2 linked regions of the Arabidopsis thaliana genome follow. Each later gene encodes a partner of the first gene's protein in a complex. Each region holds a gene or a part of one and is shown in the gene's direction. Other genes may lie near its edges.

Region 1 (4,494 bases):
TTGATGCGATTTTCGCTATATATAATACAGAAATCTAAATACTGTCTTATCTTGAAATATCAATCTCTGAGGTTGCTATTGGCTAGTCATAGATTTTTTTTGGGGTTTAGATTGTTTGTTTGCTTACGTGGTTAATGGCTCGCACTTCGCAGATTCGCAATTGATATGTGTTTTAGATATCTAGGTGCGTTTCATGGATTGGCGAAACACCCACTCATGACGTGACACGTATACGAATAGATCTCTCTATCCTTATGAAATCCTGAGAGCATCAATGTAAACCAAAACAAAAAAAATTTGGATAATTGCCTTGTATAATACATTTTATTAAACCTTTTGTATATATGCTTCTTTTTTTTTTCTTCTTCTGATAATAATAATAACTCTTGGCTAGAGATAAAACATAAGAACAAAGTAGATAAAACTATAAAATTTATGTATGGAAATAAGATTATCTAAAACTACGGAATTGAATCAAACTTTACCACAGAAACATAAGAAATTATTACCATCTTAATTAGCACCTGTATTGACCATAATATTTTATTAGAAGAAGAAGAAAACATTGGAATCCACCAGATCAAGGTGATGGTCAGGGTCATAAGACAGCTCCATAATCACGAGTCATGGTCATAGACTCATAGCCACAAGTCTGCTTCTCCCTTACCAATACCAACGGCTTCAACAACGGCCACAACTAATAAGCCAATTCCAACGGCCACCATATAACTGAACCGGATATTCACCAAACCCATTTCAACCGGAAATTGATCCACAAGTAATTAAAAATGTTCTGACCAAATGTGGAATAGGTGGGAAAATGTTGAAGTAAAGGCCAATTCTATAATGTGAGAGGAAAACTCTTTTTTGAGCTTCAGGAATATTTTCTTAGACCTGACCTTGAATCTATATTTTGTAGTTCTTCAATGATTTGATTTCTCTATTCATTTCCTTATAAATTAAATTACTTGTGAAATGAATTTCTGTTTAGAAAAACCTTGAACTTCCTAGTTGACCAAAGGATTAGAAAATCTTTCTAAGTGGAGTGTCTCCTAATAATGGATCAAAAGTGTTTGGAGCAAAAAAGAACGCATAGTGTATTAGTGTTAACAGCTTTTATAGTTCAAAGTTTAGAATGTGCTCTAAAGCATATGTGTGAGCCTGTGAGGTCTAGTGATTGTAAAAAAGAAAAATTGTGCTTCGTGGAAAGTGATGCAATAAACAACACTTCTAGGGCTGAGTAAAACCAACTAGACATGTAATGATAGCTTAAACCGTTTTCTATAGGAGTGTGATTGAGGAGTAATTTGTTGATGAATTCGGAAAAAGCGAATAAATAAGTTTGTTCAAAAGGTTGTTGAAGTTTACAATAAAGATAACTTGAATCATGATAAGAAAAAAAGTAGCTATATGTTCTCTAAAGTCTAAACCCATGATGATGAACATGCCATATGAATTAATATAGTTCTTTCATGTTCTTAGAAATGGTCGATAAGTTAAAACAGTGTTTCATTAATCGTTGTGTTTCTTCGATAAAGAGTAAAACGTCAAAGTTTTAAGGTGATATCACATAATTCATGAGATTATTTTGGTTATTGGATAAAGTGACGATGAAATCGATTCATAATTGAAATTAAACTGGTAGTGATGATGAACTAATTACCATTGAAAATATTGATATTTATGTGTGGGTAAATGCTTTTTATAATGTTACTTTATATTAATGTTTCGATCATCAGAATCTATATTTTCAAAATGTTATACTTTAAGTTTTAGTTATTGGGTTGTAGCAAAAATCATTCTTGTCACGAGGGTGTAAGTAAGTGTAACCGTTGAAGTATTCAGTGGCTCATAACTTGTGGTCACAAAACGCTTGGCTGCAATGAAAAAATCAAAACAAATGCTGGTGGACTAGAGATTGCCACGTAAGACTACTAAACGATAAAACAAAAATCTTAAAATCCAATGAATGAACAGATAAAGATTACTTCAGATATAACAAACGTTACAATATCCCTATATAATCCAACACTATCGAACCAGTTTTAATCACTCTCACTCACAAGTTAGTCATAAAAAAAAAAAAAACACAAAAAAGTTTCAATGGCCGCCTCAACAATGGCTCTCTCCTCCCCTGCTTTCGCCGGAAAGGCTGTGAACCTTTCCCCTGCGGCATCAGAAGTCCTTGGAAGCGGCCGTGTGACAATGAGGAAGACTGTTGCCAAGCCAAAGGGTCCATCAGGCAGCCCATGGTACGGATCCGACCGAGTCAAGTACTTGGGTCCATTCTCTGGCGAGTCACCCAGCTACCTTACCGGAGAGTTCCCTGGAGACTACGGATGGGACACAGCTGGTCTATCCGCTGACCCCGAGACATTCGCAAGGAACCGTGAGCTAGAAGTTATCCACAGCAGGTGGGCCATGCTCGGAGCCCTAGGCTGCGTCTTCCCTGAGCTTTTGGCCAGGAACGGAGTCAAGTTTGGAGAGGCAGTTTGGTTCAAGGCTGGTTCACAGATCTTCAGCGATGGAGGGCTCGATTACTTGGGAAACCCTAGCTTGGTTCACGCTCAGAGCATTTTGGCCATTTGGGCCACACAAGTTATTTTGATGGGAGCCGTTGAAGGTTACAGAGTCGCAGGAAATGGGCCATTGGGAGAGGCCGAGGACTTGCTTTACCCCGGTGGCAGTTTCGACCCATTGGGTTTGGCTACCGACCCAGAGGCCTTCGCTGAGTTGAAGGTAAAGGAGCTCAAGAACGGAAGATTGGCTATGTTCTCTATGTTTGGATTCTTCGTTCAAGCCATCGTCACTGGTAAGGGACCGATAGAGAACCTTGCTGACCATTTGGCCGATCCAGTCAACAACAACGCTTGGGCCTTTGCCACCAACTTTGTTCCCGGAAAGTGAGCCAAGTTCTATCTGTTTGTAATTTACTTTTCTTTCAATCTTTTGAATTCGAGTGAGAGACAGGAGGAGAAAGAGTAGGTTTGTGTTTGTGGTGGATGGTAGAGACTTTCAGATGTAAATTTGCAAAGACTTTGTATGATTTGTCATTAATCAAATAACTCATTGTTCTCTAAATATGTTTCGTAGAACTATAATTGAATTGGATTTTCAGTTCTTGGGTTCACTCCGTTGTAGAGGCTATTTCTACAATCGAGCAACGTGATTGAACATATTAAGGCAATGGGTACAAAGATTATGTTCTTTTCAAATCAAGAGAAAATGTGATTCTCGGATGTTAGCTTGAACAACACGAAAGAGTCTTTTATATAAGTTTTTTATATTCCCTTGATTTAACTTGTATATCGTCTCTTCACAAAATATGATCGCATTGAAGAAGAAATTGCAATCGTTTTTTTTCTTCTGATTGAGAGAATTAGAGAATAGATAATGAAGTAGTTTCTTCCGTGTTTGGTTGATTCTGAAGCTCGTAACATTGGCTCATACGATATCTGGATAACAATATATCACATTGCTCTGATACCATATTAAAATCACATCCACGCATTGAATGGACTGATCATATATCTTACATATTAGTTAAAATCCATTGTCGTGCGAGAGATTGCCTTCCGTGACATCCTCTGTGGACCAGGTTCGCTTGTCACACTAGCTATAATTGGTGAACACATGATAACATATATGTTTGGAGCATAGAAGAGCTAGCGCCTGTGTCATTGGTGTGTGGTATCGAAAGAACAAGAGAATAGAACAGGAGAACATGAATATAGCTAGGTTTATTCATTTTCACCCCAAAGCTTAGAAATTGCGTTCCAAAGAGTGGGTGAATTCATGTGTGAGGGCAATTAGTGATTGTAAAAATAAAATTGTGTTTTGTAAAAAACTTTTACTGTCGAAATTATTTAGGGTGATGAAAAAATCAGTAAACTACGAATGATAGCTTAAAGAGTTTCTATCAAAGTGATTGAGGAATAGTTTGTTGCAAATTAAACCTCTAACAAAATGTTTTCTGTTGTGGTTTTTCATCTCTACAAATTTTGAATTTTATGATGAATTAGAAAGATAGAATGAGTTACTTTAGATTTTAAAAGGTTGTTCAAGTTTACAAAACAGATTACTAGAATCATGATTAAAAATTTACAAGCTACATATTGTCTAAACCAATGATGTTGAACATACCAGATGATAGTTTTTCAGTGTTTGAACAATCAATTGGATAGTTTTTATGTTTCTGCAAAATATGCAAATAATCAGTGTTTTTGAGTCTTTGCATTTTGATTTAAAAGCAAAAACAACTGAGTTTCAAGGTTAAATTAATTACATTATTCATGAGATTTATCAGGTTAGTGGATAAACTGACAATGGAATCAATGTTATTGTAAATTGGTAGTGATGTTGGACTTCTAATGTTACTCTCTATGATGTTTCGGTCATCAATATCACACTATCTTTACTTTTATTTAAAGGAAAGATCACACAAATAAGTTATCTCTATTCAGAACTATTAAGCTGCTTCCAAAAGACTTGCAA
Region 2 (5,665 bases), on another chromosome or scaffold:
TTCGAGGATAAACCTACAACGACCCACCTCTGTTTATTTTAAGATAATTTATTTTTGTCGACGAAGAAGACTTCTTCAGGATTTATATACATTATTTATTGTTACCACTATCGCAGCTCTGATTATCATTGTTTTTTTCTTTATATAATAATAACAATAAATAATGGTATTATTTATAGGCAATAAAGGCTCGACATGAAATTTGAAAGGACCCAACGTTAGGAAAATCGTAATGTAGGACCACCCACCCACTTTGTTTATATTTTCTTCTCTTCTTTGGGATCACTCTCGTGAATAAGAAGCGCCACAAGGAGCGTTTTGTTCATTTTTCTCTTTCAGCTTCATAAAATACTACACACTTCCTCACATTATTCATCCTCTCTTTTCCCTTTTCTTGTGTTCATATAACTCAAACCAAAATATACCGTCTCTATCTATCTAAATCCCAACCCATTTCATATAACGTCAAAGAAAGTTTCTTATTCAGAAAAACAAGGCGATGGATTTTGAATTTGATGATCAAGAACGGTTTTGTGCGACTCCTAAGCTTCCTTTGTTCTCGATTCCATTTAACAGAGCATGTGACACTCCAGGGCTAGCGACGCCGCCTGTGAACATCGCTGGATCAGTACCTTTTCTATGGGAGGAAGCTCCGGGAAAACCTCGCGTCTCTGATGAGAACAAACCGCTGGCTTCCAAGCAGAACGAAAGAGAAGGAGGAGGAGGAGGAGTCGTGCGGTGCCTTGAGCTTCCGCCGAGGCTATTTTTTCCAGCCGATGATGAGCCATCTCCGACCACAGTTCTTGATGGGCCTTACGATGTACCTCGCCGGTCTTTATCAGTGATAAGGAGAAGCGAAAGAGCCTCTGAGGGTAGATTCGAGTTTTCACGTTCCACCAATAGCCGCTGCTGCGACGGTGGCGGCGGTACAACGGTGAAGATTAGTAGAGTTAGAAGAAAAGGAAGCCTCTTGAATCTCTCTCATTCCAAATCGCAATTCTTGGTAAGTTTTGAACACTCATCACCTTTTCTAACATCTTATTTTTAGCTGTCTAATTACACACTCTTACCGGGTAGTTTACTAGTAACTAGCAAGTTAATCGTATTCTTTTGTAGTCAAAGGTAGTCGATGATTCAGAATTGCAAACACTATAATTTTCGTTATCAAAAAAAGGAAAATACATTATTACGTTGTTCAAAGTACCAACCGTTTTATCAAAAATTTCAAACTTTATTCAATGATTTCTAACTCAAAACAAAACTTCAACATTTTTGGGATTTGAATAAATGTCCCTTTTGATTAAAAAGTTTAGGTTTTCCCTTCAAAAGTCTTTGGTTACTCTATATAGTATGGAGTGTTTTTTCAATATGCTTTGTTTTTTTCGGCTTGTGCATATGAATTCATTTTTAGGCTCATTTTGATTACATAATAATAAAATGCAGGCAAGGGTTTACCAAGGATTTAAGCAAGTGATCCCATGGAGGCGGAGACAAGAGAATCTTCCACGGATGAGTTCTTCCAATATTTAAATCAAATCTCTTCGATTTCTTTTATAAATCATTAAATCTTTAGTTAATTTTATAGACTAATATTAATATCCATCTGTATACATATTACCACATAATTTACAGACATGAGGAAAAGTTTATTCTTAACTTTTTACCAAATTAAACCCTGAAACTACACTGTTCCTCTAGATAAATAGGATTATTGTAATTATACTTGAAAAAGGTAAAAGAATAGGGAACATCTTAATTCTTAAATGAAGGAGGACAAGAGCATTATGCAAAACCAAAAATTTATTATACAAAACATAACTACATGACCTTTCTATTTGCAGTTGCTAGCGACAGCAATAATACTTTCCTGAAAAGGAAAGCTATAAAAGTTGATTGATCACGATTTGGGCCTAAGCCCAAAACTTATAAAGTGGACCGTTAAGTTAGTTAAGAAGCCCGCGTTGATTTCTCTTATCCTCAGATATTTTTTTACGAAAATCCACGGCCACTAACCGTAAAGGACACTCTTTTGATTTTTCTCTTCTTCTACTTAACTCGCTTTGCCTGACTCACTGAGTCATGGCGCTTCTGAGGCCGCATCTTCATCGCTTTCACTCCAACACTCTCCGCCACTCAGCCTATCCTTCCGCCGACGCTGGCGGTGGCCTTGTCGTCTATCCCACGTATGGTCGTCACCGTTGCTCCGCGATTGCGATCGACGCTCCGTCGTCTCTGACTGGCGTGACGCCGATTCGTTGGGGTTACACGAGTGTTCAAGGATTCCGAGATGAGATGGAAGACGACATCGTAATCCGTTCTGATGCTGTCGATAGCTTCTCCTACGCAGCGGTCTTCGACGGCCACGCTGGGTCGTCCTCTGTCAAATTCCTCAGGTAACTTGTGTTGCTTCTCATGCAAGCTCTGTCTTCTAGGGTTTAAGTGTTGACGATGGTGATGATGATTGATAGGGAAGAGCTGTATAAAGAGTGTGTTGGTGCATTGCAAGCTGGATCGTTGTTGAATGGAGGCGATTTCGCAGCAATCAAGGAAGCTTTGATTAAGGCCTTTGAAAGCGTTGACCGCAATTTGCTCAAATGGTGAAAATGAGCTTAAATTTCTCAGAGCTTGAATGAATTTTGATGATTTTGAGTGAAATGAAGTGATTCATCATGCGTTTGGATCCAGGCTAGAAGCTAACGGTGACGAAGAAGATGAATCAGGTTCAACAGCCACTGTAATGATCATCAGAAATGATGTTTCCTTCATTGCTCATATTGGTGATTCGTGTGCAGTAAGTCTTCTTATTTATAAATGGATCATTGTAACTTGGTCATGTCTAAAGTCTTGTTAATGCATTGAAATAGGTCTTATCTCGATCTGGGCAAATCGAGGAATTGACTGATTATCACCGTCCATATGGAAGCAGTAGAGCAGCTATTCAGGAAGTGAAAAGGGTCAAAGAAGCAGGTGGATGGGTGTGTCTTCTTATTTTCCATGTTTCAAATTCCTCAAGTATCATTGGATTTGCTTATCTATCTCTCCGAGAATTTGGCTTAAAACCGATTCATTGCTTTTTGTATAATCAGATTGTCAATGGAAGGATTTGTGGAGACATAGCTGTATCTCGTGCTTTTGGTGACATCCGGTTTAAGACAAAGAAGAATGAGTTGGGTTCTTTCTCTTCTCACAACGGCTCTTCTATTTTTATAATTGTTATCTCATTGCTCATAAGGGTTTCATACACAGTATGTTAAAGAAGGGTGTTGATGAAGGAAGATGGTCCGAGAAGTTTGTTTCCAGGTAACGAACTACTTGGAAGCTGTTTCTACTTTTGCTCGTCTCTCCTGTTATTCCATTTCAAGGATATCTGTTTCTCATGAGATAAATTCTCAGAATCGAGTTTAAAGGGGACATGGTTGTGGCGACTCCAGATATCTTCCAAGTACCTCTGACATCTGATGTGGAATTCATTATTTTAGCTTCTGATGGATTATGGGACTACATGAAGAGGTTTCCTTTTCTTTTTCCTCTTTCCCCCATTCAGTCATATGCTTTTTAATTGGGAAAAGTATAGAGCTTACAGTGATCAATGTTTTGCCAATACAGCTCAGATGTGGTTAGTTATGTTAGGGATCAGCTCCGGAAACATGGGAATGTGCAGGCAAGTTTTTATTTCATCTTCTTATCAAATTAGTTTCAATAATCATGTATGACTTTAAGGCTTAACTAGTTTCCTAACTGTCCATATGTAACAGCTTGCTTGTGAATCTCTTGCGCAAGTAGCTTTGGTAAAATAGCTAATACCCTCCTCAGCCTTTCTTTTGATTAGGAATCAAAACTTTCAAATGTACGATTTTGTTCCAACGTTACAGGACCGGCGATCTCAGGACAACATTAGCATCATTATTGCTGATCTAGGGTAGGGGTTCATCTAAACAAAAGTTCCACTGCTATATGAAACCTCTGTATACATTATCTATTAGCTATTCAATCTATATACTCTTAACGTGTTTTGGTTTCGATTTTTGCATAAACAGAAGAACAGAGTGGAAGAATCTCCCCGCGCAGCGACAAAACGTAGTGGTTGAACTGGTTCAGGCTGCAACGACTATCGGTTTAGTTACTGTTGGCATATGGATGTCTTCACATCTATCTTAAGTGAATTGAACATTCTATCTCTTTCGTTAGTGTATATAAAACCTGTAACTATGTCTAACACTCTAGTCTTCCCATAGAAATGGAGATATGAAGATACCTCACAAACAGAACCAGCTTTATATTATTATATATCCCACTTTCACAAGCGTTGAAACTACATTTACAAATAAATGCATCTTCCAACGACTAAGAGAAATTTTTTGAAAAGAAACGCATGGCTCATGCCACAGTTGGTGGTTCCAATTTTTAGCTACTTGATATTTTCTTTAGGCATCTATAATTCTTTTTGTTTTGTGACATTCTCTGGTTTATCATATCACAAAAAAAAAAAAAAAATCTTGACATTGTATTATATACATTGTGGACTCTTCAAAAGCCAACTATCAACGCAACCACGGTGGAATTTGTGCATGTAATCTCGTTGCCTAACAATCTAACATACCCATTCTAGACGAGATGAATTAAGAAGTCAATTGAACAAAAAAAAATTATGATTAAAATTTGAAGGAAAACAAATTCAAAAGTTAGAGTTCATCATGATCAAAATAGTCTTCGTCGTCCAAGTCTTCGTGATGAACTGCCTTGTAAAAGACATCTTCGTGGTGCAACATCTCTTCAAGAGATAGTTTACCATCTTTATCCTCATCCGCCTAACAAAATAATTAAAATTTATTGGACGTTGAAAGTCTAAGCATTATACATATACATCCACTATTAATGAGTTTCAAAGTTGTGAGAAAGAAAACTTAAGATTAAGATTTAGGTTGGGAGAGACTAACCTCGTGGCAAAGGAAAGTAGAATAGAATTTGGCATAACTCATCTCACCAGGTTGAAGATATTGCAAAATGGGTCGAAGCTCATCGGCCACGAGGAATCTGTCTTTGTCTCTGTCCATCTCTGCGAACAGAAGCTGAGGTGTTGGCACATTCTCATCCTCCTCTTTCTCGAACTTTGCGAATTCTTTATACATTTCATATGCATTTTTTACAAACTCTTTGTACTCTAGCTTCCCATCACCGTTCGTGTCCATGCCCCTATATATTATATATATCAAACAACATGTTGTTTCCTAGTTAAGCTTCATTTATGATCATATCGAAACACGATATATCACGAAATGCTTACGTCATTCGCTCCTTTAGAACCCATCTTTGTGTATCTCCGTTTCTGCTGTCTTCAGGGTGCAAGAAACTGCAAATCCCATATTTTCATTCATTTTTTATTTTCGGAAATTTTAAAAGTGATGAGATTTTTCAAGGCATATTAATTACTTGTTGAACTCCTCAATGTCGAGAGAGCCATTATGATCAAAATCAGAATTCTTGAATTGCTCCATCCACCAACCGGCTTCACCGTGACCCTTCTCGTTTTTCTCTGTTTCCATATTATCATTGTTTTTTCTTATTTGCATAATGAAGAAGAAAAATCTCGAAGGATCAAAGACAAGTTAATATATTACCAATGTCTTGTTTAGAGAATTGAGGCAAGTACTCTTCGAAAGTTATG

The links. The genes of interacting proteins can lie anywhere in the genome.
Region 2: the proteins of CAB2 (region 1) and TAP38 are in contact, whole or in part, in a crystal structure (PDB 4YZH), measured with the Arabidopsis thaliana proteins. Residues at the interface, in NP_564340.1 of Arabidopsis thaliana: Arg36 (codon at 2,209), Lys37 (codon at 2,212), Thr38 (codon at 2,215), Val39 (codon at 2,218), Ala40 (codon at 2,221), Lys41 (codon at 2,224), Pro42 (codon at 2,227), Lys43 (codon at 2,230), Gly44 (codon at 2,233), Pro45 (codon at 2,236); in NP_194509.1 of Arabidopsis thaliana: Arg69 (codon at 2,284), Asp93 (codon at 2,356), Gly94 (codon at 2,359), His95 (codon at 2,362), Ala96 (codon at 2,365), Tyr201 (codon at 2,916), Trp220 (codon at 2,973), Val222 (codon at 3,090), Asn223 (codon at 3,093), Arg225 (codon at 3,099), Cys227 (codon at 3,105), Gly228 (codon at 3,108), Asp229 (codon at 3,111), Ile230 (codon at 3,114), Ala231 (codon at 3,117), Val232 (codon at 3,120), Arg240 (codon at 3,144), Arg257 (codon at 3,275), Trp258 (codon at 3,278), Phe262 (codon at 3,290), Asp339 (codon at 3,888).

What each region holds. Positions count from the first base shown.
Region 1 is NC_003070.9:10,473,502-10,477,995, reverse strand, and holds CAB2 (chlorophyll A/B-binding protein 2), read left to right. Parts: upstream 1-2,026; 5' UTR 2,027-2,103; coding exon 2,104-2,907; 3' UTR 2,908-3,340; downstream 3,341-4,494.
Region 2 is NC_003075.7:13,850,506-13,856,170, reverse strand, and holds TAP38 (thylakoid-associated phosphatase 38), read left to right. Parts: upstream 1-1,933; 5' UTR 1,934-2,079; coding exon 2,080-2,393; intron 2,394-2,468; coding exon 2,469-2,597; intron 2,598-2,685; coding exon 2,686-2,791; intron 2,792-2,864; coding exon 2,865-2,975; intron 2,976-3,086; coding exon 3,087-3,166; intron 3,167-3,246; coding exon 3,247-3,300; intron 3,301-3,393; coding exon 3,394-3,510; intron 3,511-3,606; coding exon 3,607-3,661; coding exon of another isoform or gene 3,662-3,665; intron 3,666-3,755; coding exon 3,756-3,788; coding exon of another isoform or gene 3,789-3,797; exon of another isoform or gene 3,798-3,872; coding exon 3,873-3,919; intron 3,920-4,037; coding exon 4,038-4,158; 3' UTR 4,159-4,394; downstream 4,395-5,665. Other genes in the region: AT4G27810 (uncharacterized protein), read left to right, coding at 500-1,003, 1,444-1,530; AT4G27790 (Calcium-binding EF hand family protein), read right to left, coding at 4,683-4,808, 4,938-5,193, 5,285-5,350, 5,431-5,533, 5,619-5,665.